Linked DNA regions of Bombyx mori. The protein of the gene in region 1 interacts with the protein of each later gene in a pairwise test. Links are inferred from orthologs where the notes say so. Each region holds a gene or a part of one and is shown in the gene's direction. Other genes may lie near its edges. The genes, in order: glutaredoxin 3, anamorsin homolog and MOXD1 homolog 1.

Evidence for each region.
Region 2: the proteins of glutaredoxin 3 (region 1) and anamorsin homolog interact in binary tests that used the Homo sapiens proteins (3 or more experiments, as listed by UniProt). The link is inferred for Bombyx mori from reciprocal best matches to the Homo sapiens genes GLRX3 and CIAPIN1.
Region 3: the proteins of glutaredoxin 3 (region 1) and MOXD1 homolog 1 interact in binary tests that used the Homo sapiens proteins (3 or more experiments, as listed by UniProt). The link is inferred for Bombyx mori from reciprocal best matches to the Homo sapiens genes GLRX3 and MOXD1.

The regions. Positions count from the first base shown.
Region 1 is NC_085112.1:5,056,062-5,066,809, reverse strand, and holds the start of glutaredoxin 3, read left to right. Parts: upstream 1-4,155; 5' UTR 4,156-4,359; coding exon 4,360-4,409; intron 4,410-4,700; coding exon 4,701-4,869; intron 4,870-5,264; coding exon 5,265-5,527; intron 5,528-10,748. Other genes in the region: prefoldin subunit 5, read right to left, coding at 1,104-1,277, 1,892-2,101, 3,061-3,147. UniProt on the Homo sapiens protein: Together with BOLA2, acts as a cytosolic iron-sulfur (Fe-S) cluster assembly factor that facilitates [2Fe-2S] cluster insertion into a subset of cytosolic proteins.
Region 2 is NC_085117.1:10,720,612-10,731,319, forward strand, and holds the start of anamorsin homolog, read left to right. Parts: upstream 1-5,749; 5' UTR 5,750-6,090; intron 6,091-6,171; 5' UTR 6,172-6,523; coding exon 6,524-6,668; intron 6,669-7,503; coding exon 7,504-7,733; intron 7,734-8,917; coding exon 8,918-9,083; intron 9,084-10,708. Other genes in the region: uncharacterized protein LOC101735621, read right to left, coding at 675-797, 3,204-3,353, 4,506-4,598, 5,454-5,537. UniProt on the Homo sapiens protein: Component of the cytosolic iron-sulfur (Fe-S) protein assembly (CIA) machinery required for the maturation of extramitochondrial Fe-S proteins.
Region 3 is NC_085109.1:4,825,453-4,836,350, reverse strand, and holds the start of MOXD1 homolog 1, read left to right. Parts: upstream 1-4,556; 5' UTR 4,557-4,786; intron 4,787-10,898.

The DNA.
Region 1 (10,748 bases):
TTTGGACAAAAAAATGTTATTGATATGTCAATACAGATTGATTTGAATATAATCGTCTCCTTCAAAGAATACGGTTCAAAACCTGCATTAAATAAAGGTTAATAGTTAACCTGTTATTTATCTAAGATGTCGTTCCGAGGAGTTTTGTGACTGCCAATGGAATACAAAGTCAATAATTCGTTTTTCTAATTTACCAATAATTGTCCAAAAGTCAGATTGCCGGCTTTGATAATAGTCGACTCATCTATGGATTGTGTAAGAAAGTTGTAAATTACATTTATACGAGTATGTAACTATCCTTCTAGAATTTGATTATTACTAGATACAACAACAATACAGGGTGTTATTCTTCAGAATTCAATAATTAGATCATTAAAACATTTAAAACAGTATCAGAATATATCTTAAAAAAAGAAGCCACTTTTTGCTGATGTTTGTTTTAGCCGCGTTTTTTTTTTGTTATACTGGATCGTTCAAGTAAAACTTGGAAATATATTTATATATTTATTTTAAACATAAGCACATTTTGTTACATTGAATTAAATTTAAAACTAAGCAATGAGTCTTGTACTTGTAAAACACATAGTTTGAAATGATATAAAGCTTTACAAAATTACAAAACATGAATTAAGAATATTATTAACATTACTTGATGCTATTGAGTAGTACTCTTGAGGAGTATTCTAAACACAAAATATTACCTTAGGTAATTAGTTTCAAAATTTATCCAAAATTAAAGAAAATGTGAGGAAAAGCTTTGATGTGGCTTAATAATATTATCTAGCTTTACATTAGAAAATATCAGTATAAGTCATAGCTGTTGGGATTACGTTAATACATTCAGAAACTTGGCTTTGCTCTGAAATCACTGATGTACAGAAGCAATAGTAACCACTTTGATTAGGACAGGGTGATACGTGGTAACAAAACACAAATGATTCCACTTTTAACACTAAGATGTAATCATTAAAATGTTTTAAAAAGTAATTAAAATACTTTAAATAAACTATAAATTAACAAAGCAGAAAATTTAGGTCAACTCTATACATTAAAAGGACACGAATCTCTCCACAAAATATTTTTTAAATTAAGTCTCAGATATGTTATGAAGAGTTAGCTTTTTTTGCTTGTAGTTCGTTTTGAACTTTCATTTCAACTAATGCATTAACAGCTTCACGGAGTTTCGATTTCTCTGCACCTAACATACTTATTTTCTCCATTTGTTCTGTAACAAATTCTACTCTTCTCTTGAAGTAATCTTTGCCACTTTCAATGTCCTAGAAGCAGAAATAAAACGTAATACAAACATATGTCAGCATCATTAGCCCTAAGGGGTAACCCATGCAGTTAATTTGAAATTATTTGAAACTATATCATGATTCAATCTTCATACCAATATTCTAAAGTACTCAACATTTTCTGAAATGAGGTTTGAAATGAAAACAGCAGCTATACATGATATATTATCCTGCCAAACTTGGAGCTGAATTAAGTGTTAAATTAGGTTTAAATTTATTTTTAACTAGCGCCCCCCCTCGCCTCGCTTCGCTTCGGAAACATTAAATTTTATTATTGATAGCTGAGTCCCGCGATGTTATCCCGTGGTACGACAATAACCGACGCCGCGGGCCGAACCTAATCTAAGAAGTAGCCTAAGTTACTCCTTATATCATCAGCTACCTATCAGTGAAAGTCTGGTCAATATTGGTCCAGCCGTTCCAGAGATTAACCGGAACAAACAGACAGACAGGCAGACAGACAAAAATTGTAAAAAATGTTATTTTGGTGTATGTACTGTATATATTCATATGCATGTAGTAAAAAGCGGTTATTTCAATATTAAAAACAGACACTCCAATTTTATTTATATGTATAGATTTAAGTTACTCACTTTCTTAGCGTAATATCCAGTGCCAATGTCAATAATGACATTCTCAACATCAGCTATTGTGCCAGGAACATACATTGAACTAGTCAATGGAACAAGCATCGGTTTTCCTTTGATATCAGGCGTCATCTTCTCTAGAACATCTCCTGATTCACCAAACTTATTTTTAGCCATTTGTAATGTTTGTATTGAATCATGAAATACTGTCAATTCCTGAAATAAAATTTTATGGATTTTGTGTGAGAGTATTGCCTTTTTTTCGGATGGAGATAGCTGGTTGCAAGGAGGCCACTACTGCTTCACTAAGATAGGCAGGGCAAGCATGGGAGCAGCCAGGAGGAGTCAGATTTACTAACAGCTGCCCAAGTACTCCCAAAGTAGACCTAAAGACTAAAGGGCAGACGTTTTACTAATGCATATTGTAACATAACATCAGTTACTAACATACAGACACATTTTCACTGGTGGTAGGACCTCTTGTGATTCCGCGTGGGTAGGTACCACCACCCTGCCTATTTCTGCCGTGAAGCAGTAATGCGTTTCGGTTTGAAGCTGTTGTAACTATACTTGAGACCTTAGAACATATCTCAAGGTGGGTGGCGCATTTACATCATAAATGTCTATGGGCTCCAGTAACCACTTAACAACAGGTGGGCTGTGAGATCGTCCTCCCACCTAAGCAATAAAAAAAATGTCTCCCTCAATTTAGTCATTATGTTTGATGTTCCATTTCTGGCTAATTATAGCAATAGCTACAATACAATAAAGAAAAGCGGATATGACCTGAAGCTGACTGTTTACGAAATAGTCTTCCAATAAAAGATCAGAACAACAACATGATGACTGCTTGTCTACCAAAAATGAGCACATTCAGTGAAGTCTTCTCTTTAACATATCTTAGATTCATAGCTTTGTGAGTTGGTATTTGAGGTCCGGGTTCATGTCACTAACAAGTACACCTAGATACACAACTCAGACCAGAAAACATATGGAAATGTTTTCATTCCGGCTTTCATGAGGGTCCTTAAAATAGGACATAAGTCCTGTCTCTTAAGGACATTAATAGTTACGACATTTAATAATTATCTGTATAAATTATATTATGTTGAAGAAATAATACTTAATGCTTACTATTTCTAAAATAGCTCTATAGATATTTCCTTTATACATACCTGGTCTAACTGCTGTTTCAATTGAGCTAGTTGAGGCAAAGGTAGTTTGTTTAAATCGATTTGTTGAGTGCCTGAACCGGATGCCATCTTTGTAAATATTAATAAAAGGAAATAATAAAAGAACTTAACACACGTTTCTAGTTATTCTATTTAGTTTTTTGTAGGATCCTAAGACTATTTCTTTTTTCTAACCTCAAAATAGGTAGATTTCGGGTAGGATCCAAAACTTCAGTCAGAATATGTCAATTTGACAGTTTTACTTGTTTGGTCCAAATTGACATGCAAACAAATTCTGCCTATAACACCAAATAAGTGAAAAAAACAAATCGATAAAGAAAACCTCTTAGTAAAATGTTGAGAATTTACAGAAACTAAACTGGATTTATTAGTGTGTATCAATTTGGCTAGTCATATTGGTAGTTTTCTACCAATTTGACCGCTAACGAAAATCGTATTAAAGAGGTTAATAAATTTATAAGTTAACAATTATGTTGCGAGCATTTCGAGAGAGCAATGACTAAGCAAACCTTTTAATCACCATATAAATTAGCAAAAAAATTGGCTCAGACACAAAAAAATCTACCACTAAGCTTGATCATTAACCGTAAACAATAAGATGGCTAAGCGATTTTAAATAAATAAGATATACATGACATAATATAACTTCGCTGTGTTGCTAAAACTCCTTATTGTGTACATCTATTTATTATTTATGACTCCTTTTGCTTGTCCAAAAAACAAATCAAACAAAAAAATTTGGCTCGAAATAGAGATGATGATTCGACTTCAGACCAAAATTTTGAAAAATCGATTCTAGAAAATACCCAAGTGCAACCAAAATGACACAAAAATCAATCAAACAGAAATTAACAACAAATTCATTCAAAAAATTTAATAAATACATGATTTATATACAACAACTTTTTAAATTATTATTATTTAAAATGTAAATTTAAATTTAATAAACATTATATTTAATATATTCATAATCAGTTGAACCATAAATACTTTATTAATGCCTTTTCATCAAATTTCGATTTTCTACTGCTTAAGATGTTTCACTATTCACGATTTAAGTTGTTAACAAATTAATTTACTCAAGTATCGATCTTAGACCACATCCCTAATCAGAGATGTCAGAAACTGAATGAACATGATTAAATAAATTGTAATTTTTGCATCGAGTACACCTACGATTCCGGATCTTGCTGTAATTGTAATTCAATCTTGCTGTAATCCAGTGGCGCTTATATACTGTTTACAAAATTTATTAAAGTAACCTAAACATAGTATACTGAAATGTCGGTCAGTAAATTGGACTCTGTTGAAGATTTTAATAATTTTATAAGGTAAGAATCACCGCTAATAAAAAAGTACTTTTAAAACCGTTTGTGAAAGGATCATTAAAAATAAGCCATAAAAAGAAATTAAATTAAATACACAGTAAATAGGTAAAAATGTTAGATAATAAATTACTATGTAGCAGGATGGTCAACATTTTGCATTCATTGAAATGGAAATATGTATTTAGAATATAAAATTGAGAATATTACTTTCAATTAATCTTTTATCACAACAAGATGATTCTTTAATATCTATCTTGGTATTGGCTGATATCAAAAATTATTTAATTAATTTAGATCACCTGCACTTGGAGTAGTACACTTTTCAGCAGAATGGGCCGAACAATGTAAACAAGTTACAGATGTACTTGAAGAACTCTTAAAACTTCCTGAAATTCAGTCGAGCAAGACACAATGTGCTGTTTGTGATGCCGAGGCACTTTCTGAAGTTTCCTTGCAATATAAGGTAATGCTCTGCTAATATATTGTTAAATAAAAAGTAATAAGTGCTAACCCTAAAAATGTAGTGCATCATAAAGCACAGACAATTAAGTCACCTATTGCAATACCTGTGTATACTTTTTTTATTATTTATTAAAGCCATACACTTATTAGGTTAAGTCGGCTTATATACCTTTATGGATACATCAATTTGTATCTTGATTTTGGTTACTCAACTATGCATTAAAGACTTTATGTCATTCTTCAGATTGAAATAGACTACTTTAGGAAACACTACACTAGACCAGTTAAGCAATCAAAGAGCCTATGTAATTGAATATTGAAATAATTTATAATGAAAACAATCAAAATAGGGAAAGCCTGTTTTAGACAACTTATTAATGATTATGTTTATTTCAGGTAGATTCAGTGCCTACAGTTATATTATTTAAGAATGGAACTCAAGTAGACAGGATTGATGGAGCAGATGCTGCTCAAATTAGCACAAAAATTAAAGCACAGAGTCTTAATAAGAGTCCTGCAGAAATAACCCCTCAGAAACTTGAAGATCGACTAAAAGCTTTAATAAATAAGCATAATATAATGGTATTCATGAAAGGGAACAAGGAAACTCCAAGATGCGGGTTTAGTCGTACTCTCATACAAATTCTGAATGGAACAGGGTATGTATTATTGATGAAATGATCAATACCTATAATTTGATTGCACTATTTTACATGTGTAAGTATAGATGTGACTTTGTCATGTGAAATTTGGCTTGGCCCTCGAGACAAGTTTTGTAAAAACTAAAGAATGGAGAACATTTTGCCTATTTCTACAAAACAAATAGGTATGATTTAAATTGCAAAATGAAAGATTTTTAGTTTTCTATTTTTATTTATTTTGAATGAATATTTATAGTGAATATATACATATAAAAATCACATGCTTTCTTACTCTAATGTAAACAGCAGTCCATCTTCACCAATTTGATTTGATATTTTCATGACACTCTTCATAAGTATGAAATCATTTTTTTTTTATTGCCTAGATGTGTGGACTAGCTCACAGCCCACCTGGTGTTAAGTGGTTACTGGAACCCATAGACATCTACAACGTAAATGCGCCACACACCTTGCAGAAATAGGCGGGGCGGTGGTACCTACCCGTGCGGACTCACAAGAGGTCCTACCACCAGTAATTACGCAAATTATAATTTTGCGGGTTTGATTTTTATTACACGATGTTATTCCTCCACTGTGGAAGTCAATCGTGAACAATTGTTAAGTACGTATTTCATTAGAAAAATTGCTACCCGCCTGCGGGATTCGAACACTGGTGCATCGCTACATACGAATGCATCGGACGTCTTTTAGGCCACGACGACTTCAAAATTACCTATAAACTTGGTTTATTTTCACAAGTAAACCGTGGAATAAAAACTTTTCTGCACTCTTAGCGTGTGGCGGGTAGCCATCATACAACGCAAGATAATTGACAGATGCCTGAATCTCGCTTATGACATTTTCAAGATAAAGCGCATATATCACACATCCCATCACAAGTGGGCTGTGAGCTCGTCCACACATCTAAGCAATAAAAAAATAAAAAAAATACAAGTTCCGAACAACGACATTCGGACCGTCGGTCTACCGAGCAATATCACCCGCTCGGTGGAAGATCTTTCCTTTCGTCGTTAAGACTCCCAAAGCGCACATCAAAACACTCCTTTTGGCCTGACATAGCTTTTTTAGTACTTTTTTTGTTGGTCACATGTTTTTAGTGTAGTGCTAGAAATAGTACTGTGACGTGCTCGGGTTCGGGATAAATAAAACTTTCACCGAAGTACAAATTAAAACTCTATTTAACTCTTAGAACATTTAAGGCACACTTCATAATTCCTTTACACAACTTTAAAACGCGCTGAAGGCATTCGAAAGCAATACCGTCATCTTGATAGGAGTTATGAATACGATAGGGAAAAGCGACAATACGGACCAACACGACTAAGGGAAGCAATTTATTAAAGTCTGCGAAAACCACGACCTTGTTATCGGAGGTACACTTTTCCATGATAAAAATATACATAAGTATGCGTTGACTTCACCCGATGGCAACATACGTACGAAGACCAAACTAGCTGCCAAGTGTTCACAAAAAGTGTAGTGCCGATATCGGCAGTGGTCATATGTTGATGGTCGCTGAACTCCGGCACAAGGTTGCGACTACGAGGCGAGCAGCTGGCAGCAACAAGATACGACTTAAGTTCGATTGGGGACAACTTGATAGAAAGATTTCTCGAAGTAAATTTGCTTTGGAACTCCGAAATTGTTTCTTCCGTCTCTATGCGAATACTGATAATACAGACGAAGAGTGCAACCGAATCAAATCTATCAAGAAATCAGATCTTCTGTCTTAGATCATCTTGGAAAAAAGCGCGATGATTGGACCTCCGACGACACTTGTGACCTTAAACAGACTTGATGCGATCTTCACCTAAACATCCTAGAAACCCCGAACAAAGCCGAACGGTCTTGCCTTAGGGACCAGTACAGTCAAATACGTACATGAGTGCATCTATCGCAGCACCAGAAAATACAGGCGACGATCTACTGACGGTAAGCTGAATGTGCTCAAGCAGCAGTCGATACGGGCAACCTGAGGCAATTGTACGGTGACACCAAAGAGCTGGCAGGGAGAAAGAGACCCAAAAGAAACTGCTTTGGGATAAAAACAGAAACTACATCGCGACTTCAGAAAGTTATCTTGAATGTTGGCGCGAGAACTTTCAGGAGTTTTTGAGCAAATGAATTGTCCTACCATCTCCTTCATCTCCAAGCTCAACCCTACCATAGTTTTTAGACATTGACACTTCGATACCGCTTCGAGAAGAAGTTGAAGCAGCTTGAAGTACAGGGTGGCCCATAAGTCCTTTGAAAAGTAAAATTTGAATAAAATGAACAGGGCGCGCGTGAGCGGTGCAGGGGAAGCGGGGGGAGTAACTTCGGTTTCTGGGAATTTAGTCGCGATGGAGCGTTTTACCGGAGCGGACCGTGCGTTTTGTGTGCGCGAGTTTTATAAAAACGACAATTCGGCAACCGTTGCGCGGCGTAAATTTCGAGAACACAAAGGTTTACACAACTTTGACGACACTCCAACTCTTCAAACGATTAAGAACTGGGTTGCTAAGTTCGAGGAGACCGGTTCGACGTTAGATAAACCGCGGTTGGGTCGCCCAAGGACGTCACGTACGGAACAAAACATAGACACAGTGACACAGTCTATTCGCGAAAATCCGACACAGTCAACTCGTAAGCGCGCCAGAGCATTAAACGTATCCAGGACATCGTTACAACGGATTTTGAAGAAAGATTTACATATGCACCCTTACAAAATTCAGTTGGTTCAAGAATTAAAGGAAACTGACGGTATTCAAAGACAAAATTACGCGAATGAAATGTTGAATCGGTTTACTTCCTTCAATAACATAATGTTCTCTGACGAGGCTCATTTCCATCTTAACGGGCATGTTAGTAAACAAAATTGCCGCTATTGGAGCCCCATCAATCCAAAACTTAAGCATCAGAAGCCCTTACATAGTCCGAAAGTGACTGTTTGGGCCGCTATGTCAGCCCATGGTATCCTAGGGCCTTACTTCTTTGAGGATGGCAGAGGGCGCGCAGTTACTGTTACGTCGGAGCGATATGTGGCTATGATCGAAGAGTTTTTCATACCAGAATTGCAAAACTTTTCAGGCTTTAATGCCAGGACGTGGTTTCAACAGGATGGGGCCACTTCTCACACCTCTAACACTGCTATGCCCGTTATCCGTCAACTTTTTCCTGGCAAAGTTATCTCTAAGAGAGGAGACATTTCCTGGCCTCCACGTAGTCCAGATCTGACCCCGATGGATTTTTTTTTGTGGGGCTACCTTAAGGCTAAAGTATACGACACAAACCCGCGGTCAATTGAGGCCCTAAAAGAAAACATCCGCAGAGAAATGACAAGCATTTCAGCAGTGACGTGCCGCGCAGTCATCGACAATTTTAGACGTCGTTTGCAAGAGTGCCGTGATCGCAACGGATTACATTTAGGAGATGTTATTTTCAAAAAATAATTCCCGTTTTTTAAGCTTTTTATGTAAATAAAAATTTAATTCATAATGTAATTAGTTTTATTTTAATAAATTTTTTTTCATATCAAAGGACTTATGGGCCACCCTGTATATTTTCTAATAAGAGTGGGAAAGCACCAAGCCTCGACTTTTATAATAGGAGAAATGCTTAAAGCCGTCAACTGATCCAGAGGTCTTTATGGATTCCTGAAGATCTACCCGATGACCGGAACAAAGGCCTTTAATCATTGTTCTCAAGAAAGGTGCCCTCAGTGAGTGTGGCAACTGGAGGGGCATTACGCTGCCTTCCGTGCCATCAAAGATACTAAGCAAGATCGTTCTGATCAGATGGGCGAAAACAGTGGAACAACTTCTTCGGCAAGCATAGACTGGATTCCACCCCAATCAAACTTGTACGGAACAAATAAATACTCGAGGAAACAACAAAGTGGCAACGCGATGTCAAAGGACACGCTGCATTAGACCAATATTTGATAACATCTTGACGAAATTCTCGCAGAGTTAAACTCAAAATCCACCGATTAAACGTGAAATTTGTCTTGTCCAAACAAAAAGATCATGCAGCCGATTCAGGTTTTCATCAGACGCTGCTTACTGCAAATACTTGGCATTTTCTAATTTGAGAAGTACTCTAATGAATACTTTTGGGAGGCGTGTCGGGAAATGCCAATTCACAAGCAGATCATGCGCCGGAAATGTACATGGAGAGGCCATACTCTCAGAAGAGAGCCCTCACACATCCCACACGTTTTAAACAAAGCTGGCGGCGTAATGTGAGGCGGAGATGAAGACAATCGGGCTATTGTGGCCTGAGTAAAGTGCATAGTCCAAAACCGATCGCTATAGCAAAATACTGTTGAAGCCCTATGACCCATCTAGAACCTACGGACCATAAACAAAAGAAAACATGCTTTCCATTAATACTGTAAAGTATCAGTAACATCTTAAATAATATAAAACAGAAAATAGCGAAATTAAACCGTAAAAGTAAAACCATTCGAAGAAAATACTATAACAAAAACTAAAAAATTTTTACCTAGATAAAACGACTAGCATAAATACTTTATGATAGGTAGTCCTTATCAATCCGTTATCATAGTTATTTGTACTGATGACGTAGGTCTAATATACTAGTATCACAAAAAAAATTGTCTTGAAATAAAAGCAGCATACATCAGACCCAATCGTGGAATGTGTAACTATTCTCTGTGGCATTGCATATACATTTATATGACAACCACTTCCCATCAAAATTCGTCTCCCGCCGCTAACAATAAAGGGTGCTTAGAGTTGACTGAATTTAGCAATTTTAATATGTGGACGAGTTTTACTAACAAAAACATAAGTTTATTTTTCAAACATCAAATAAAGGCTATCTGACTGGTTAGTAATTTATTAACACACGCCAATCTAAAACTCAAACCATTTAGTTAACTCATTGATGATACTTTATTTTATTCCATCAATAATTTTATCTCCATGACTGAAAATCGGAAATCCGTGAATTAGAATCGTTGCGTCTTGTGCGCTGAACAAAATTACTCACGTGGCCATTTTATAGCATTTTCGTGTGATATGAAATTGAAAATTTCGCTGAAATAATGTTACTTGCATTTTCTGATAATAATATATTAATTTTATAAATGGGTATACCGTAACTAATAAACTTTTTACTTATTTTGTATGCAAATTGTTATGTTCAAAAATTCTTTATATTTAAACAGGTGGATCTTTGTAAGATCTTTTATAGGATCTTTGTGTCTTAAGTT
Region 2 (10,708 bases), on another chromosome or scaffold:
ATATTCGGCCATCATTCCCTTATCACAAAAAACACGGAATGTATTTTATTTTAATCATAATATTTATAAATAACATTTTTTTTTATTACTTAGGCACGAGTGGACAAGCATTCAGTAGAATAATTACGTATTTTATATTTATGGTTAATTTGATTTTTGTTGCCTAATGTTAGTCTTCATCTTGGAAGTCATTCGTGAACATGTGATAGATATGTTAACCTGCCTAAAGGATTTGATCGCCACACAATCGCATCGCTCGATACAAGTACACTAGACGTCTTATCCTTTAGGCCACGACCACTTCAAATTAAAATTCTTCTATATCTACTACATTTTATAATGTACTTTAATAAACTTAGTTCTTGTATTTTAGTTATTATATTTTAGAAAATAGCCGTTTTATTGTAAGCCTCAAATCTCTTCTCACGTAATATAAAATGTAAAAACTTCACCTTAAATGTTAAATATCTTTCATATTTTACATTTACGGCGATGTTCTGCTTTATTTATGCTGAACACGTGAAATGATTTGAAATTTTAACAAATAGTTGAATAATTTATATATTTTTTTTCTATGACGTAATGCAGATACATGTACACTCTCACACTACCCTTGGTTGACTGATAGAGAATGCCTTAGTCATTAAACAAATAAAATTTAATCAAAGTTAATCTTATGTGAATTTATCTCTATCCTTCGGTCGGGCAATTAATGTTAACCCCATTATAATGAGAATTGCGCCTGCCCACCATTGGGTACTTGATGGCTCTTCGAATAACACGATTCCTATAAAACCCTGCAAAAAATAGAGATAGGTTATTATGCAAGTTAGTAAATGAGATCCAAAAACAGTATAAGAGAATGTTTCATATTCAGACACACAAATGTGACATAGTTTTTTTTATTGCCCTTGTAGGCAGACGAGTATACGCCCCACCTGATGGTGAGTGATTACCGTCGCCCATGGACTTCAGCAATGCCAGAGGCAGAGCAGAGCCGCTGCCTACCGAGCCAAGCTGCTGCCTATAGTTAGATGGAATCGAGCAAAGGCGATTCAAGAATAGAGAAGAAAGACGTCGAGTCCCTGGTCAATTAGACGTATTAGATTGGTTCTAGGCTAAGGAACCTGCAAACATAGACACAGGGTTCTTTGGGACGGTGAATACCTACTATACGCAGTGAGGTATACGGACGTGCCGCAAATGATTTCGACGAAGTCGTTACTATGAATAAGTTAAAAAGGTTTTCACTAAACAGCACGATTTACACCCGTATCTTTAGTCGTTTACACGAGCTTAACTCGACTCGACTCAACCTCCAACGCGCGTTTTGGTATGATTAGTCGTAAAAATAAACTCCACTCAAACGTCCTTGGAAAATTTTCCTAACCGGAGTGAAGTAAGCGAACTGTCAAGTCAAGGTACGTCGCGACGTACCTTGAACGTTCCTCAAGGCTGGTTTTCTATCAATGTCCAAATAGTATGTGGACCGCAAATGGAAATATATGATATTGTTGTGCAATGGCCTGGATCTGTGCATGATTCCCGCATATTTTGATAATTTAAGTTTGATAATGTTTATTAATAAAGTATTTATAAAGTTCGAGGTTAGACATTTGAAACTCTTTATTTTATTTACCTACATAAGAGACATATTTTGCTTAAGGGCATAAGTCTTCGACCACAGGTGGAGTGGAGGAAATCGCCGGACTTCCGCCCTTTTCTGGGGATACTGGGCGGGGTATGTCAGAGTCGAACTGACTAAAACCTCCTGTCGTTCAACAACCAACGTCCAAACCTCGCATGAGACAGAACTCATGACAAGGCAAAGGGGGGAAAGTGAAGCGTTTAGTGCGGAGCACATCTCTCCCATCACCCTCCCCCTCGGGACGCCGGACTGGCGGTCGTCGGCGCCACGACCACCAGCCCTCTCGGTCGGCAGACTGTCCGAAGCCCGCCTAGATGGCGCCGGTTAGAGTGGGTTACCCTACGGAATACCCCGCTGGGCCAGAACCAGCGTGGGTCGAGGATAGCCGACCTTCCATCACCCGGATGCTCTTGCGTAAAACGCGTGCAGAACAGCTTGCACGTCGTCTTCTTAGGCCCCCCTCGCCGGTCCCCAGACCGACATGACAGCGGTGGGCCTAGCGTACTATACCATTCCTACCAAGCCAGAATCAGGGAATCAGTAATTTTTATGAACTTGAGATTTTCATTCTAAAATCTATAAATTTCAATAATTTCCACGGAAGATAAAAATTAGCGACTTTACCGTTTAGTTATTAAGATATTTTAAAAGGCTATAATTATGATGAAAACTACAACTTTCTATTGAATTTGAAAATCATGGCGTTCTTTTTTTTTATTGCTTAGTTGGGTGGACGAGCTCGCAGCCTGCCTGGTGTTAAGTGGTTACTGAAGCCCATAGACATCTACAACGTAAATGCGCCACCCACCTTGAGATATCAGTTCTAAGGTCTCAGTATAGTTACAACTGCTGCCCCGCCCTTCAAATCGAAACGCATTACTGCTTCACGGCAGAAATAGGCAGGGTGGTGGTACCTACCCGCGCGGAATCACAAGAGGTCCTGCCACCAGTTCTACGGCTGAGGGTCACGCGGCTCACTTCCATACGCGCTTTGTTTGATAGCTGCAATCTGTGGCTTGTAGGAAGCGTTTACGTTGGAACCCTCACGCGGCTCGCGGGTGACCCTCATGGCCCGAATGGTTCAGTAAGATAAGGCTCACCGGTGAGCATCGTGGCCTAAATGAAAACTCTCCATTTTTCATGTAGCGTTGAACGTGTTAAAGTACCTAATAAATAAGACGTGGGAGACTTTTTTTGTAACATAAATGGCATGGCATCATTGGCATGTATGATGTATGTCTGTCTGATTCCTCGGCACGCTTGGCAGCCAAACCTTCGGTTGGATCTCAACAAATGTAACTATATTCAACTCGAATTTGACAGTGATAAAAAAAATGTTAAATGTAAAATAAGGTAAATAAAGCGACTGCGGTACAATCTGGCTATATTGTACTGTCAAGAAAAGTACATAACTGTCAGATTTCATGGCACAGCTATAGTCTGAGAGCTTAGAAATCAGTTAAAAATAATGGTAAAATTCCATTGCATCCATTCATACTTGCACACATATCATAGGTAGAGGTGGGCTTTTAAAGAATGCGTAAAAATATCTTACCGATAGAACGTAGCTAGAAGCTGCGGATATGACGGTGGGTGCGACCGAGTTAGGTGCAGCGTCCAGTGACCGCAAGTAATGCCTGCTACTCCACGTGTTAACGAGGACCATGATTATCAAGATAACGCCGGATATAGCATAGCTGTCTCCCTGTCAAATTAATGTAAATGCGCCTTTATTTTAGTGTTTCTTTTTGCTTTTGAGTGTTTCGATGTAACATCGAAGAATTGTTTCACTGTCGCTACCTACTGATACTGCTGCAATGCCCAGTGGACGAGCTCACAGCCCACCTGGTATTAAGTGATTACTGGAGCCCATAGACATCTACAACGTAAATGCGCCACCCACCTTGAGATATAAGTTCTAAGGTCTCAGTATAGTTACAACGGCTGCCCCGCCCTTCAAACCGAAACGCATTACTGCTTCACGGCAGAAATAAGCAGGGCGGTGGTACCTACCCGCGCGGACTCACAAGAGGTCCTACCACCAGTAATTATGCAAATTATAATTTTGCGGGTTTGATTTTTATTCCTTCACCGTGGAAGTAAATCGTGAACATTTGTTGAGTACGTATTTCATTAGAAAAAATGGTACCCGCCTGGGGTTGGAACACCGGTGCATCGCTCAACACGAATGCACCGGACGTCTTATCCTTTAGCGTTCGGGCTCATAAGAGGCCCTATCGCCAGAAAACGCAGTTTCCGCAGCCAGTGCTAGTGGGTATGCGGATTAGCGAATACAGCTACTGCTACTCCCCTTCAGAACGACAAACTGAAGGAACGCGTTTGTTTTTAGAATATAGAGATTTCAGATGCCCACTCCGACACTGATTCCGACTAACCCTTGGTGGTGGATGCATCCCGTAAACCCATACGAGTGAACGGCAACATTTACATTGTGATGTCTATGACCTATTATCTATGTTTATCGGTCAAACATATATCACCGGAATAGTTCAGCTATGCTTATAAAAAAATCTACGTTTATGACAATGTTATTGTAATGGAAAATACAGGGTCAGGGTTTCCAAAAATATCTGGACATGGCTCCTATTTCTATCGCGAAACAATTTTGCGTTTCTGTATACTGGATTTAGGTGATCTATGACACTAACATATGAATATGAATTGTGTGTTAGTGTCGTCAAATGCTAAGATTTTAAAGTTAGAATGAGCTCTGTTTTTTTTTAAACAGGATAATTAGAGGTAAAAAGATAAATTACTAATTTATAGCTCAAGGGTACAATTTATTTATTGATTGTAGGTATTTATTATCTATGATAAGCTGTGAAACAGTACCTACTATTTTTAGTGACTGAAAGTTAAGAAGTCGTCGTGGCCTAAAAGATAAGACGTCCGGTGCAATCGTAGCTAGCGATGTATCGATGTTCGAATCCTGCAGCCAAGTACCAGTTTTTGTAATGAAAAATGTACGTAACAAATGTTCTCGATTAACTTCATAAAAAATCAAACCCGCATAATTATAATTTGCATAGTCAATGGTGGTAGGACGTCTTGTGAGTCCGCACGGGTAGGTACCACCGCCCCGCCTATTTCTGCCGTGAAGCAGTAATGCGTTTCGGTTTGAAGGGTAGGGGAGCCGTTGTACTGTAAAAACGAGGACCTCAGAACTTATATCTTAAGGGGGGTGGCGGCATTTACGTTATAGATGTTTAGGGGCTCCGGTAACCACTTAAAACCAGGTGGGCCGCGAGCTCGTCCAACCTTACTGTAGCACTATACAAGTGTCGCCATCTAGTATAATCTAAGTTTATTACTATAATTATTATTATTCTTAATCATTATTGTATTTTAATGAGAGTAGCCTTTTCTTGAAACTAGTGAAAAAAAGGTAAGTCATTCAACATTATCTATATTTAATGGGTAAAGATAAAACAGTATGTATTGCAATTTTCTTATCTTTTTATCAGTACATTTTGAAGTGTAGTTTATAGTCTAATTTTGTTCAATAGTTGAACATTAAATTAATTAATACATATTATGATGTATGACGAGTAAAAAGATTGACCTAGATAATGTAGTCATACAATATAGCTAGAGCTACAAAAATTACTTACATTCACATACAATTTGAAAAATAGCAGGATAAACTTTTGTCGTTTTATTCAAATTTTGTTATTTAAATCATTATTTGACATTGTTTTGTTTTAAATCGTCATAAGCTTTAATAATTGTAACAGGTCGTGTCGTTAACTCTTATCAATTTCATAAACACTTCTAAATAACTTACTACTACACTTTCAGTTCCAGCTAGCTTCCCCAAAGCGCTTCCAGCAGATCCCCAAATTCCAGCAAGGAAAGCCTCATGAAACATTTCCAATATTTAATAACGTATTTTAATTTATAAGTAATCTACAATTTTCACTTTTGAAGTAAGAGCCTCCCTTGCAACACGATAATATTCTTAAGATAAACACAATTCAATAAATTATTGTTTAGGTCCACATCAGCTGTTCTTTACATTGTAGGAATATTGTCAACAAAAAACAAATGTTTTAAAACCAAAATGTCAAATTTTAAGGTTATTTTAGTGGTGTTGGCATTTGATAAATAAAATGGTTTAATTTTGAATAAAAAAAAACCCGTTTATTATAATAATAATAATGCTATTCATCTTACGTGTAAAAATACTAATCGACATTTTATATCTGCATGCCGTTTTAGGTTGATATCTAAAGTCTAGAGAATCTACGAAGGAAATAGTTAACTTTGTGTTTTTGTTGCATTATACGTGTAATAATTGCGGGTTATTAATCCATTAGCGTCTACGAATGTCCATAAATGTGACACGGCTCCTCGGACTCTTCTAGTTTTGCAGCGAAAGCAAAACTTTACTATTTTCTTATCAAAGTCCAATTCTACCGAAGGTTCAGTGAATTCCTATTATAGTACTAGGGCATTGTTTCATTTTATCCCATTTTATTTGATTTAATTTCATTCCATTTCAGATCAATCAAATTTTTCTATTCCGTTTCGTATTGTATCCGTTCAACAATTATTAAACAAATTGTGTAAATAGTAATTATGTAGATTTTATGAACTAGATAGTGGCAACAATGTCATTTGAAAAAGCTGATTGCCATACTGAAAAAATAAGAAGGGAAGTGCCTGACAATTGAATTGAAATTCATCATTGTTCATTATTTATAATCATTTACTTAAGCCAGCAGCCACTGGTTAGGAAATTTACCAATTGCCTGTTATCTTTTTCAAGGAAACAAATTAACTGCGTTATAATTTCGTTATCTGTTATTTAAAAAATACTGTAAAATCATTGTTAAAAATCCTTGGCTTACAAACATGGACAACTTGAAAAACGGAGACAATGTTCTTATTATTTGGAAGAACGACAGTCAAGGAAACATTACGAGCCTAATAGAAGACGTAAAAAAAGTAATTCAAAGTGATACTGTGGTTCTGGAAAACTCCGACATGATCACTGAAGGTAAATTATACATTTTAGTTCTTAATTCTCAGTTAGTGGTCTTATCGAATTTAAAGTTTTTATATTAGGAAAAGTTCTATACTTTTTTCATACGTTAAGTAGCTCTCCACAAATCGATTATAAGTGTTTACCGGAAAAAAAAGATCAGAAATCTATCTGTGCATAGATATGTTATAAATAGGGTTCTTTAAGTTGGCTGTAGTATTGTGCTTACTTATTACTTACTCTCTCTTACGTGTATTCTATAGTTTTTATAATTGATTTGGTTATCTCAGAAAATGTATGAGAAAAATAATTGTGTGCTTTTTTGTAATGTTTAAATTTTAAAATCTTGTTTTTCTGCTATTTCATCTACTCTGATGTATAAAATAGCATGTAACTTAGTCAGGACACAACCGAATTCTTAAAACTTTAAAATAGCAAAATAATATTTATTTACATCATATCCTAACATGTTTTGGCAAAGTTGTTCAAGTTTCAATTTATAGAATGATTCCAATGTCAGGTATCAAAGGTTTGTTTATCAATGTAAATTTAGATAAACTGTAACTATTTTAAGTTGTGTTTTGATAAACCCGGTATTGACTGATTTGGTGATCCAGAAGTGTGCCCCTGACGAGGGCAGAAGGTTGTGATGTCTATTACCAAATTAAGCAATCATGTTTGTAATGAACAGGTTTGTTTGTTCTATGTCTAGTGTTTAATATCTGTGTATGTATATATTTAACTGTATAAAATTATGTATATTAATCTCGTTATCATAACACAGATAATCCTAGTTTTAATGCTTTAAGATAGTCTAAAAAAGTTTAAATTAAATTTGATAATTTTTCAGGTTCCCGTGAGCATTCATCATTTGATGTTGTTCTCTCAAACTGGTTACCTCCCCACAGTGTCTCACATTCTGATAAACTATTGGCAATAATCATTAAATTACTCAAACCAAATGGTAAACTTATACTCAAAGATCTCAACAAATTGACCAGTACACTTAAATTAAATGGTTTTGTAAATGTCACTGAATTGGAGAATAACAGATATGTTGCGGAGAAACCAAAGTTTGAGGTATGCATTAAAAATGTTTGAAATGAAGGATTTACCATCTACCAATGACCTGGTTCAAGGGGGTATTTTTTTTTTTTTTTTTTTTTTTTTTTTTTTATTGCTTAGATGGGTGGACGAGCTCACAGCCCACCTGGTGTTAAGTGGTTACTGGAGCCCATAGACATCTACAACGTAAATGCGCCACCCACCTTGAGATATAAGTTTTAAGGTCTCAGTATAGTTACAACGGCTACCTCACCCTTCAAACCGAAACGCATTACTGCTTCACGGCAGAAATAGGCAGGGCGGTGGTACCTACCCGTGCGGACTCACAATAGGTCCTACCACCAGTGATTACGCAAATTATAATTTTGCGGGTTTGATTTTTATTACACGATGTTATTCCTTCACCGTGGAAGTCAATCGTGAACATTTGTTAAGTACGTATTTCATTCGAAAAATTGGTACCCGCCTGCGGGATTCGAACACCGGTGCATCGCAACAACGAATGCACCGGACGTCTTATCTTTTAGGCCACGACGACTTCAAAAATATATAATATATACTAATAATATATATAATATTACTATAGTATTAAGTATAATATTATAGGTATAATATTACTATAGTATTAAGAGCATTAATACCAATTGCCAGGCTCTGCCTAGTAGGCATATCTTAGTTGTTTAAAAATTGTAAACATGTTATGACTTTTGAAATATTTTTAAGCTGATGTTAATTAGACTTTTGAAATATTTTTAAGCTGATGTTAATTAGACTTTTGAAATATTTTTAAGCTGATGTTAATTACCAGTTGGTTACCATAACCAACAGACATCACAATGTGAATGCTGTCTGCCATGAGACATAACTGTTTGATGCTGCATTAGTACAAGGGTTTCTCGGCCATTCAAAACGGAATCCAATTATAACTTCTGCAGTTTTTTTTTATACTAATTTCTGGCAAAGATGTTAATATCTGCTTCAATAGCTGACTTATATTAGCTCATACTTATATTTATGAAATGAAAATAACTCCAATTTTTTTTTTTTAAATGTCTTGAAATTTATAATTCAAAGGAAGAACAACCAACAGTCATGGAGCCCTGTTTAACTGTGTCTTTAGTGTACTACATTTGAGAATATTTTTGGAAATACTGAAAAAACTTAATTTTATTTCACTAAATAGCTGTTTAATAACACAGGTTGGTTCAAAGTCATCTCTGAAATTAAATGGAAAAGCCACAGTCTGGAAGTTGGACAGCACAGTTGAGGAAGCTTGGGCCAGCACTAACAACGATGATATTATTGATGAGAACGAACTATTGGATGAAAATGACCTTAAAAAGCCAGATAAAGAAGCTTTGAGTGGTAAATTAGTTTGAATTTTTTACACATTTATTCTTCGGGATTTTAATTTTATAGAATCATCTTTAAATTTGAAACTTATTTGTGCTAAGCTTATTTTCACATATTTTGCAGAATTTTTTAAAATATAAAACCTTATATAAAATTTTTACTTCAAAATATACAAAAATCAATGCTAAATTCACAGCAAGATCATTTTAAAGGGTTATTTATAAATGGTATTGATGGTGGTAAGACACTTTGGTACAGGTCGATACCTAATAATTACCTTACGATACGATTACGATAACTATAATCAAACTACGCTAGTCGGTATTCCGATGCTACGCGCTTTATATCCATGAATAGAGTCTTATCTATCGGTGGTTCGCGCTCTGTGTAAATGGCAAAAACAATAAGCAAATGTTTGAGCTTATTGTAAATTATTCTTTGATTGGCAACTTATAGAATGTACAATAAAATATGTTTACACCAAAGTATTCGTATATCAATCAACAATAGTTTTATTTATGTAAATATTGTAAATGCAACCTATTTATTAAAAGTGGTATGTAAATTAATTTACAATGGTTTTGATATTATGAAAGATATGGGAACAGTGGTGGTTTCCATTATCATTTGTAATAAATTGATAAATAATTGTCTGTACTACTGTGAATATGTATTTCTTCATTAACATGTTTGTTCTGAGGTTTTGTGTTTCAAATACCATCTTGTGATTCAAGAAAGTGTTATGTCATCATTTATCATTTTGTTGACTGTTTTATCGTTTTTCTTTAATCTGAAGAGTCATTTGTAATTTGTAACACAATTAAACGGAAATCATATTAAAATTAGGGAATAAATAGGTTGTGAAACAATGTTCCGCCCTTTCACTTAGTTTCATTCTTATCGAGTGCACTTGCACTCTGTACTTACAGAAAACAGTATTGAGAGTACACGCAGCAACAAAAGTTTCTTTTTCCTTTTATTCATTAAATTTCAAAAAAAGAATTTAATAATTTTCAAAACATGAATTAAAATTTCCTTCTCTTCACGTCGATTTACTCATTAGTGAGGGACCTGACTCGCACGCTGCATCGGTTTCTCGCGTACGATTTCCCCTCCATCTAATATGATCCTTAGCTTCGTAAGGGCAATCGTGGAACTTGATGTTCAGAGAATATCGAATTTGGTCCGACCATCTAGTGGGACTTCTTTCTCTGGGACGTTTGCCCTCTAACTTGCTTTTTTATTTTCGATCAGAAAATAAATGACATAGTATTTTATAACCATTTATTTTAACAGAAATATTTCCTTAATATCTGTTATGTAGATTCATGTATAGCTATCTACTGGTGGTAGGACATCATGTAAGTCCGCACGGGTAGGTACCACCACCCTGCTTGTCAGGGACGTCTTAAATTAGGCTGGGGCCTTTGGGCACACAAGAATTTGAGGCCCTTTTGGAAAGTAAAAAATGTTTTTTTTTTACTGAGTATGACCATTTATTATATAGGTAATCAAATACAGTATGATATAATATTTCATTAATGATATTAGAATGCTGCTGGTTTTTTTGTTACGCTAGATGGTGTACTTAGTAAATTAGGTAGGATGCGTTCGGAAATATTATTAATTAGTACAGT
Region 3 (10,898 bases), on another chromosome or scaffold:
CGTCGCATGAAAGGTTTTTTTTTGTTGCTATAGATAAAATAGCTGCTAGCACGTCTGCTTTTAAGTGATTTTCGGAGCTCATAGACATCACAGCATGAGCGCTGCTCACCGTCTGGAAACATGAAGTATGAGCGATTACAAGACCAATGTGAAGAAGACTGAAGTCGACCGAAATCGATTCACATTTGGACGGAAAGCGATTTCCCAAGAATTTATTGATAACTTCATTAGTCGTATAGAAAGGATACTGCAGAAAGATCAGGCAGCTAGAGGGAACAAAGCTAAGTTCTGATCATTGACTACGCTTTAGTCTGTTCTAGGCGCTTAAAGAAAAAACACCAAACCAATGTCATTCCGTAATTTAGTTAATTTTTGTCTATTTTTTTCTTTGCGCAATTTTAAATTAACGACTATTGAGCAAAATCGAAATGAATAAAGCTAACTATAGCAAATATCCATGTTGTCGTCTTAATTCGTCCTTTAGTTTAAAATACAGACAGGACTGTACAAAACTGATTAAATAGTAAATTAAAACTGCTTAATCTCGCTTTTATCGTATTATAGTTAAATTATTACGTACGCTTCGAATACCTTACAGGTTTCGTGGTCACGGACGGTAGACGGTGTAGTAGTGGTAATTTTAATTACGTCTATGACTCGCGAAGACCGGAGACGATACCAAATAAAAGCAGTATAAAAACTACAAAATCACTAAACACAAAATCCGTATCTAGTTTCGAGTGTCTGAAAAGTTAAAACAGATCATCGCAAACACAAAATTCATTCATTTCTTTAATGAATTTTCAAGTCAACCATTCCTTCTTTGGGTGCAGCCATAAAAACTTCACCCCTTATGGAGACGAATGATATTATCGCATTACATCTGTCACGAGTCGTCCGTGTTGGTGCTTACCGAGCAAATGGCCAAGGTCACGCTAAATTAATGCGAATCGCGTAAAACAAAATTGTTAATGCGGGGTTAATGACATCGCATACTTGTATCGAAAGTTTCGCTGCTAACATTCTGATGAAGCGGTGTTCGGTGTTTTAATTTATTAATAAACTAGCTTTAATGGCGTGATCGGGCGAAGTTGAAATTGTTTTAACGAGTTCAAATAAGGAATGACAGCTATTTGGTTTAATGAGCTCTGTTAATTAATAAGTTAACTTTTAATTTGCTTTCGACTTGTTTTATGAAAAATAATCAAATCTTTTGTGGTTCGTGTGAAATAGCGATTCGCATAAGGGACTACACATGAAGATGTAGAAATATATAAGTATTTACGTACGTGTTGTTGAAGCACAGTTATTAACATTAGAACACAAAAACATCTAGGACGATTTTTTTAAAGTACAAAAATATGAATTTAATTTATTCTTTATTGCGCTTGTTCATTTGATATTGAAAAAAAAAGTGACTATTCATTAAAATTAAATATCCATATGCATGTAAACATACCTATTAAAAATAAAATAAGTTTAAAATTAAATAAGAGCCAATGTCCCTGAAGAGGTTAGCACGTTTAAGTATTTCCTTCATTCATTCGATTCAAAAATTCGCGGTAAAATATTGAGCCCTGGCTATTGGTGTACACAAAGTAATAGAAAATTATTGGGTTTGAATGTCACGTCTAATCACATAATGTCCTTTTAAAAACTAATTTATCGAAAGTAATTTAATAATTTCTTTTAACTTAAATATGTTCGTTACTGACAGGAGATAGATAAGGTATTTTTGATTAGTTAAAATAGTGGTGTACAGTATGTGAGCGCGATGAAATATGAGTGAATAAGATGAATTAATATCGTAAAGCAATTAAATATTTAACCTCACGGTAAATTTGGGCCATTAGGTCATAGTTATTTGTGGAAAATCCACAGCATCATCATCATCATTCATCATCATCATTTCAGCCTGTCTGCTGTCCACTGCTGAACATAGGCCTCTCCAACTGATGTCCAGTGCGGCCGGTCCGTTGCCACCTGCATCCAACGTGAATCCACAGCAGGCAATGTTAAATAGCATATTTTTTGTATTTGTCTTACCATTTTAAGTTGACAGGCATACGGCCCATTTGCTGGTAGGTAATTTCCATTGATCACAATAGTAACGCCAGGCGCATAGCCTACTACAAAATAGAAAATAGAGGATGCTATATTTTTTTAAAGTCGTGTTCTTTAACCCACTTCAGGTGCACGTGCTACTGTTTTTTTTATAAACAGTCACTTTTAACGAACCGTGCGTTCGGAAACGACGTCAGACGCTCTACCCAGGATATCCTGTTTAAAAAATAAAAGAGCAACCCTACACCTTTAGGTCAACGGTGTTAAATAATTTTAAGACTTACACTGCAATAAGAGAGTAGAAAATTGAATGTTATTGTTTTAAGGGTATGGAGTGCGTGCGCGAACACCCGTTCCCAAATTGTCGTTTTGTATTGAAGTATGCTTCCAGAGATACAATCAAGTTTATTGCCGTAATATTTTACTGCTTTTGCTGTGTTATGGTTTCAATAATGAATAAGTACATGTACCTAGCTAACGTAATTAGTTAAATGTAGGTTTGTGAATTTATTGGGTTATGATACTACGTTTTCCACCTTGACTTTTTTTCTTTTCCTACCTATGCTGATAGCCTTGAGAAGCTATTTCAGCGTAACCTTAACTAGTAGGTGAGCTCACGGGGCTCAAACCGGAGTGATGCTAACACTGACCCTAGCAAGAGCAGTGCCTTGCAGAATCTACCGCCGGATCGGAAACGCGACCCACTGAAAAGATCCAGTGAGAAACTCAGTGGGATGTGTCTATGGGTTAATTCGCTCGTTGCGCCCTTCGTCGCAAGCGACGGGTTCGACGAGGACGGTGACCAGTGCTTGTGATACCTAAAAGCACCGTTAATGGATCGGTAGGATCCGTAATGACGTGTTTTGGGCAACGTCGACTATTTACCATTCGGTCTACAGGATCGGGTATATAATTACCAGCTGCCACGACAAGAGGAACCACCTTGACGTAACAGTTATCGTAAACGTGATACCAAAGTACCATAATGATTATGTTTAGATACTCTGATAGCATTTCAGTGATATGGCGGTAGTCCATGCTAGGATGGCCACTTACTATGGTGGGCTGAAAGGTATGCAGACTTTGGTGCCAATGAAAAAATAAAGAGCTCTGTCATGTTCAATAATACCATTAGACCAACTTCGAACTATTAACTCCATTTGTCACAAAAACTGATTAATACAGCGATTTGGAAGTATTCTACAAATTTAAGAATAATAAAAAATGAACTAATAAATTTGACAATTTGTATATGTATACCTTTAATAGTCCTATCATAGTACCTATAATGCGACTGTGCTAGTGTTCGATTCCTAAAGGCAATTACCATTTTTTCTGAGGGTAGCATTGATAAATAAAACAATACATTAATGGATGATAGTCATACATACCAAACGTTTGTGAATGACTACCACAGTGAAGGAAATAATATCTATACTAATATTATAAAGCTGAAGAATTTGTTTGTTTGAACGCGCTAATTTCAGGAACTACTGATCCGATTTGAAACATTCTTTGTGTTAGATAGCCCATTTATTGAGGAAGGCCATAGGCTATAATATAACATCAAGCTAAGACCAATGCAAGCGGAGCACCAATAAAGAATGTTTCAAATTCTTTTTTTTTTCCTTTTGAAAGCTTCCGCTGCGTGCGCTGCAGAAACGGTTAAAGTTTCGCTAAAATAATGTATGACAGAATTGTTCTCCTTTAAAAGATCTAAAAAAAAGCTCGCGACAGCATATGTCTATATGTTAAGGTTGACTCACTATTCCACGCGGACGAAGTCGCGGGCAAAAGCTAGTTGTGAAATAAAAATCAAACCGCAAAAAATTATAATTTGCGTAATTGCTCTTTATTACTCCCGTAAAGCAGTACATAATGCGTTTCGGTTTGAAGGGTGTGGCAGCTGTTCTTCTGTAAAAACTGATACTTTGAGCTCCGGTTTTACGTTGTTGATGTCTATGGGCTCCGATACGACCAGGTGGGCCCTAAGCTCTTCCACCCGTCTAAGTAATACAAACAAAAAACATCACATGACGCGAAATATTACAATAATAATATTATATAGATTTGAATGAATCAAGAGTACCTAAGTGTCAATGGAAATACCACATTTTTGTGACTAATAGAAGGTGTTGTGTGAAACTAATACTAAATTGGAAATGATTGATTAAACGTTCATACCGGACTTATTTTATATTGTTCGTAGTCATAATCTACTTCTGATTTCTTCTAATATTTGAATGACTTATAGGTCAAAAACACCAACTCATTAAACTAAAAAAATACCATTTTTTATAATTTCTAGGTCATGATGAGGATTAATAAAAAAAAAGATTTATACAATATCCATTGAAAAATATTTAGGATTTGTTTGTGCCTATAATTAAGATTTTGTGTCGTTTCACTCGTTTCCCAACCGCCTTGCATTTCATTGTCAATTCATTCAATGCTCAATCGCGCGCCGATCCAACACCAGTTAATTCGTTTTTTTTTTGAAGTTCACTCTTCATTCACTGCCGTCATTCAGTTCAGTTAGTCTGCGCTTGTCCGTCGAGGTGAGAGTATGCGCATGTGCCGATCGACTGTCAAACGAACGAACGTAAATAAACAAGTGAAAAAGTCTTGTGCCAAATAAATGTATTTTACGCATCATTTTACTAACTTTATAGATTATTGTGACTTTTTAATTCGTAAGTGATACTGTACAACGAAATTGAAAGTAAGTTTTTTTGTATTCTTTTAATTTATTGCACTTTGTCTGCTATGCCGGCGGCATCTTCGAACTTCAAGATTTATTTGATTTTATTCGGATTTTTGCACATGTAGCCAGGAAATTAATTTCATAGGTATTCCAAATTTAAAAAGGTTTTTTTCTTCTACTTAAGTACGCATTCAACGAATGTTTTCTGTTACAAATTTCACTTTTTGTAAATCGAGAGAAAGCACTGTAATTTTAAGAGTAATTGAAGTTTTGCGATTTCGTGCGAGTTGGTGTAGTATAATTAAAATGATACAATTATGAGTAAAATAGTGGATTTCAATTACTAAAAATTATGATGGTACACTTCATTCTTGGAACTTTGAATTTAATATGCCACATTTGTATTATATACCCATTAATGGTTACAACAATGATTCCAACAGGCAGGACAGTAGACAGATATTTTTTAACAATACTACTAAAAAAAAACAAGAACAATAATACTTGAACATTTCATTTTATTAATTAATAAGTAGTATGTACATATTTTTACCAATTATTTTAACTCAATTAATATGTGACAATATAATATTTTATACATTTTTGTACAATTCTATATTTAAAGTTATTTAAAATGTATATTTAATGTATACTGCTGGCACCCAATCAGAGTATCTCAAATATACATTAACAACTAACTGTTACTTGTTACTGAGATCACATTATTGAACTCCTGCCAAAGACAGCAACAACTAATCAGCTCAGCAGTGTGGGCAGGTGTAATCTTATATTGTTTAACTTTGTAGCAAATATTCCTGAGTTTTTTATGTTGTTCTATATGTTTAAAGATTTGAAATGAGTTTATGAAGTGGAATATTTTATTCATCTCCACTATTATTTAATTGTAGACAATTTTGGATCACGGAATGACTGGGTTAGATAACTGGGAGTCATATTTATTACTAGTGATAACATAATGTTGAGCCCTTGATCTTGGGGCTTCTCCTTTATACTTATCCAGCTTCATATCTATAAATTTTTCTATAAAAATGCAAGTAAATTGAATTGCTGTCTCAATGGAAGCACATAATATTATAAAAATCAAACTTGCAGTATTTATAAATACATATAATTACTTATTAGAACCACTAATTAATTACGGTGACCTTGCACTGTTCCAGGTTCAACTATCCCTTCTATTTCAGTTGTGATTGTATCTCATATTAAGGAAAGGATATAATACTACAGACCTTCAGTAACATTTCAAAATTAGTGATGTTTCACTTTGCGATATCTGTGAGCTCTAACAACTATTTAATACTAGCTGGACATTTTTCTGTCCCCTTATTATAATAAAAAATAAATTGTAATGTCAAATGTTAAACATTCCCCCTGGAGGCCCATTCCAGCCCATTGAGCTAAAGCTAATAATCTGATTTGACAAAATTACAAATAAAACAAGACTTAACGGTTGAATTGGAATGAAAAATATCTTAAATGAAGATAGTGACCAGGAATCAAGCGGTGACCCGCTAAAGTTCATTATAGGGTGATTAATCATAGAACAATCATATTGAAGAAAAATTTGTATTTGTATAGAGAGATTCAGTGGAAAGACATTATATTTTCTTGTGAATATTATACACATTTTATTTAGATAAAGACGCCACTTATATCAACATACAAATGCATTAGTGCTATTGTTATGTTAATGCATAGGCTGAACGGATGAACAGGTTCACGGTACCCTCAGGTACAGCCCACTGAGATTCTCACTGGATCTTTTCAGTGGGTTGCGTTTCCTATCCGGTGGTAGATTCAGTGAAGCACTGCCCTTGCTAGGCTAGTGTTAGCAACGTCACCAGATTAGAGCCCCGTGAGCTCGGTGCTACTTACTCGGTGAATCTAGTATGACCCCTCGAGGTCACTAGAATAGGTAGCCAAAAAAAAGAGCTCACGGCCCATTGAATTGTGAATATTGTTTTCTTGCTTCTGTCAACGGAACGCAGGAATACTTCGCGCCAGAAACAGACAGGGTGGTGGTGTCTGCCCATGCGGGTTCATATTACGCCCGCTACAACTATTGACGTAAATAAGAAATTTGCATTTTTATACTTATTGCACAATTTTTAGTCATAGTAATTTAATCTTAGTATAATCTACTATTCTGTGCAGGTGTTAAAATAATGTGAACTTTAAACCTATCATGCCCTCAGGGTACTTTGCATTGTTTTCTTTAATCTATTGTAAAAATATTGTAATTGGGCGGGCAGTTTCCATAGAAATTTTGGGGCAGGTAAACACCTCCGATACTGGCCGCGCCATCCAGATAAGTTAAACAGAGACTTCCTGTTGCGCACGGTGACAATGACTTCTCGAAAATATTGGATAGATTTTTTTGTTAGAATTTAAAAAAGAAATCGTTTCCGACACATTACTGTTACAACTATTCACTTTGCTTATAAAAACCTAAAAGATTTTGCGCATTCTTCATTCATTGAAATTTCAGTAAACGGTAGGAATATTTGTATTACCATTAGGTATGCTTATTTATTTACTTAGGTTTTACGGGTTAAGATACGATTAAAATCTATTTTAGTCACGTGGTTAATAAATGCATAACACTAATAGTAGAACGAGAGTTCAAGGCTGAAGAGCTCGTATGTGAGCTATTAGAATCAGGTCGCGGAATTATTTATGTTTTTTTTCAACCAAGAGCTTAATTACTGGTGGCAGGACCTCTTGCGAGGTCTAAGCAAGTCTAATCTAAGGTCTAATCTAAGCAATAAAAAAAAAGCACTGAAATGTAGAAATCCAATATGAATAACAGAAGGACGATCAGGCATCACGATAGTATGAAAGGATGGTCACATTGCCGCGGTGGCGTTGACTCCGCGAGTTTGTATGGCACGGCCTCGACCTCAGCGAGTCTCAATAACGAGGTATTTTTAGTTTTCATTGCATACCTAAATACGTGCGGGTCTGACTCACGAACCAGTTAAATAGGTAGGAAGTAGGTACTTACGTGTTTTACATGGGAATAATGGACACCAGCATAATTATATGCTAATTATGGAGCTTATTAAGCGTTCTATCTTACTGTTGTCACGCGGATTCAGCTGAACTTGTGTACTTTTTGATGTTGACGTACTCAATTATATTTTTAGTGGATTTACCCGTGTCTTCGTCAGCGTGGTCAAGGAAAAGCGTTAGTGTAATTTCCTGTGGTAGAGATACGACTTTTCGGGAATAATAGTTAGTCGATGTCGCTCTCCTGATCGAAGACCGAATTTTCGATCATCGTTCTCGTCGAACCCGTCCCTTGTGACGAAGGGCTCGGCAAGTAAATTAACCCACAGACACAGCCCACTGAGTTTCTCGCCGGATCTTCTCAGTGGATCGCGTTTCCGATCCGGTGGTAGATTCTGCGAAGCACGGCTCTTGCTAGGGTTTGTGTTAGCAACAACGTCAGGCCCCGTGGACTCACCTACTCGCCCGGTGACGCTGACGTGGTCTCTGTTGACCATCAGCTTAAGTAGGAAGAAAAAAAACCTGAGAAGAGAAAGAAGAAGGATTTAAAAAATATATATATATCATGTCAATCTGTTGCTTCTTTCTGAAGGACAAATATAAAAATAAAGAAACTTTCAGATTTCTAATAATAGGTTGGGGAAAATATTTCCTCGCATTTTTAAGAAAATTCACAAAAAAAATTAATATAGTTTATTTACAATTAACTAAAGTATGTATGCGAAAATACTTTTTCCCCAACCTATTATTAATAGAACATGGGTTGCTGTTAGGGCGTATAGTATCACACGCGTTCCGAACCGAAAACCAGTCAGGCGTTCCGAATAGAAGGGTAGGTCTGCCGTTGTACATACAATACAAATAAGATTTCGACTTCATGCAGCGTTATTCAAGCTAATCCCAGGTGGGCAGCAAAATCGTCTGCTGATCAGAAACATATGCGTGTGTATGTATATGTATATTATATATGTATAAACATTTCAAACAAATTGCGTAGAGTGATCCACAATAAACTCTTGTTGTGTGGAAGTGGTCACGACCCTAAGCATTGAGGAAATCGAAGCAAGGAGAAGGAGAAGTACTTTTTTCAGTTCTTGATTTTTCAAATGAATTACGCACCTACCCACATATTTGTTTTAAAACGATCGTACTTATCTCAATACGTAAAACGAAAGTGATACCACGACGAAATAATTTATAATATTTAATATCTACTATTTAACAAGTCTCTTAAATGCGAAAAGCCCTTCGCTTTTATACTAGACTCCTAATAAGTCATATTATCTACGCATTATCTGTCTGTTAGTAGACCCCTAATAATTTTTTTTTTATCGTCCTGTCTTTTTTTTATTGCTTAGATGGGTGGACGAGCTCACAGCCCACCTGGTGTTAAGTGGTTACTGGAGCCCATAGACATCTACAACGTAAATGCGTCACCCACCTCGAGATATAAGTTCTACGGTCTCAGTATAGTTACAACGGCTACCCCACCCTTCGAACCGAAACGCATTACTGCTTCACGGCGGAGGCGGGGTGGTGGTAGCTACCCGTGCGGACTCCCAAGAGGTCCTACCACCAGTGATAAAGCCTAATTCTGTTGTGAAAAATCAAATATTGGGTTCTGAATAGCAGGATGGTGATTATCCTAATTCCACTAATCCTCTAACTAGATTACATTTTCCTAATGGGAACGTTACGATTCATGGTATTGACCCTGGAAACCGTATAGCATTAGCTGAAGTAAGTATTTCGTTTGCCCGTCGTCTATGCTAATAAAAAATAAAAACCCAAAAGTTTCTAAATAATTATGTAGTTTCGTATTAAAGTTAACGTCTATATTTAAATTAACCCCAACAGTCAGCTGCTGTGAGCGTACTAAATAAAGGTCAACCCTACCGCCCGCCATTATTGTTTCCAGTTTTAAAACGAACTATAGGATTTGTTGAGTAAATTTATTCAACGTTTGTTTGTTCAAATAACAAAAGAAAAACTTTATCCGTTTTAGAACTAGTATATATTTTTTTGTTTTTATTTATAAAGTTAACATAGGAAATAACCGATCAGTTTCACACCTCTAAACTTTATACAGTCGATCTGTTACGATCGAATTAAAGATAGCCCCGTTTCTGTCTTGTGTTTCAATAAAGTAGTTTTCAAACTCTGAACATCCTACGTTAAAACATCAAGGAGATCAAACAAAATGTTTCCCATGCGGCCGCGTATTTGGAAACACTCCGTGGGAGTGTCTGAGGTGTTAATTATAACAAGGATGATGCCTCAACATTGCTTCGAATGGTGAAGGTTAGTGAAAATGCCGTCCCTATGAGTGTCTAGATTATAGAAGTAGCCTCAGAATTTTCTAGATCAAACATCGATCAGAAACGTGTTTGAGGTTCCTCTCACTTTTTCGTAAGGGCACAATTCGCATGTAACATAATATTTAATCGCGAGTCCTTTTGTTTTAAAACCAATAAATACTGCTGACCTCGCAGACCGATGTTAACGTTTACTGGAGCCAATGGAGACATTACGTCGAAACATCAGTTGAATTAGAATATTATTCCAACTCTGATGAATAGAGATAAAACCTACATCTTAAACGAAATGCATTTATATGAGTTGATATATCGAATTCTAGTGTGCTTATTTAAAATTCAAAGTCAGAACATTTGAAGTGAACGTGCTTTAGAATCACAATTACCGAACACACGAAACCCGTATCTACGTAATAAAGAAACTATGTAAAAGGTATTTTTATATAAGCATTGTCTTCGCATTGATATTCAAATTACTTTTTTGCGTCGTTCGTTTCGCGATACGATCAAATCTCGGATTTACATGAACTCATATAATTTTAATTCAAAGGAAAATATCTGTAAATCGATAAGGGTAAAAGATTATTCAATAGGGATCCCCAAAATATCTCGGAAAGTAAGACATTATTTCAACTGATCAAATTGTAAATGATTCTAGCGTATCTGTTTTTTCTTACCACTTTAGTGTAATTGTAAAATGTATGTGATGGAGAGACGATACCATGTTTGTTTTTAAAAAGCGTGACGTCAGCAATGCTAACGACATCGCGTCATCATCACGCTCA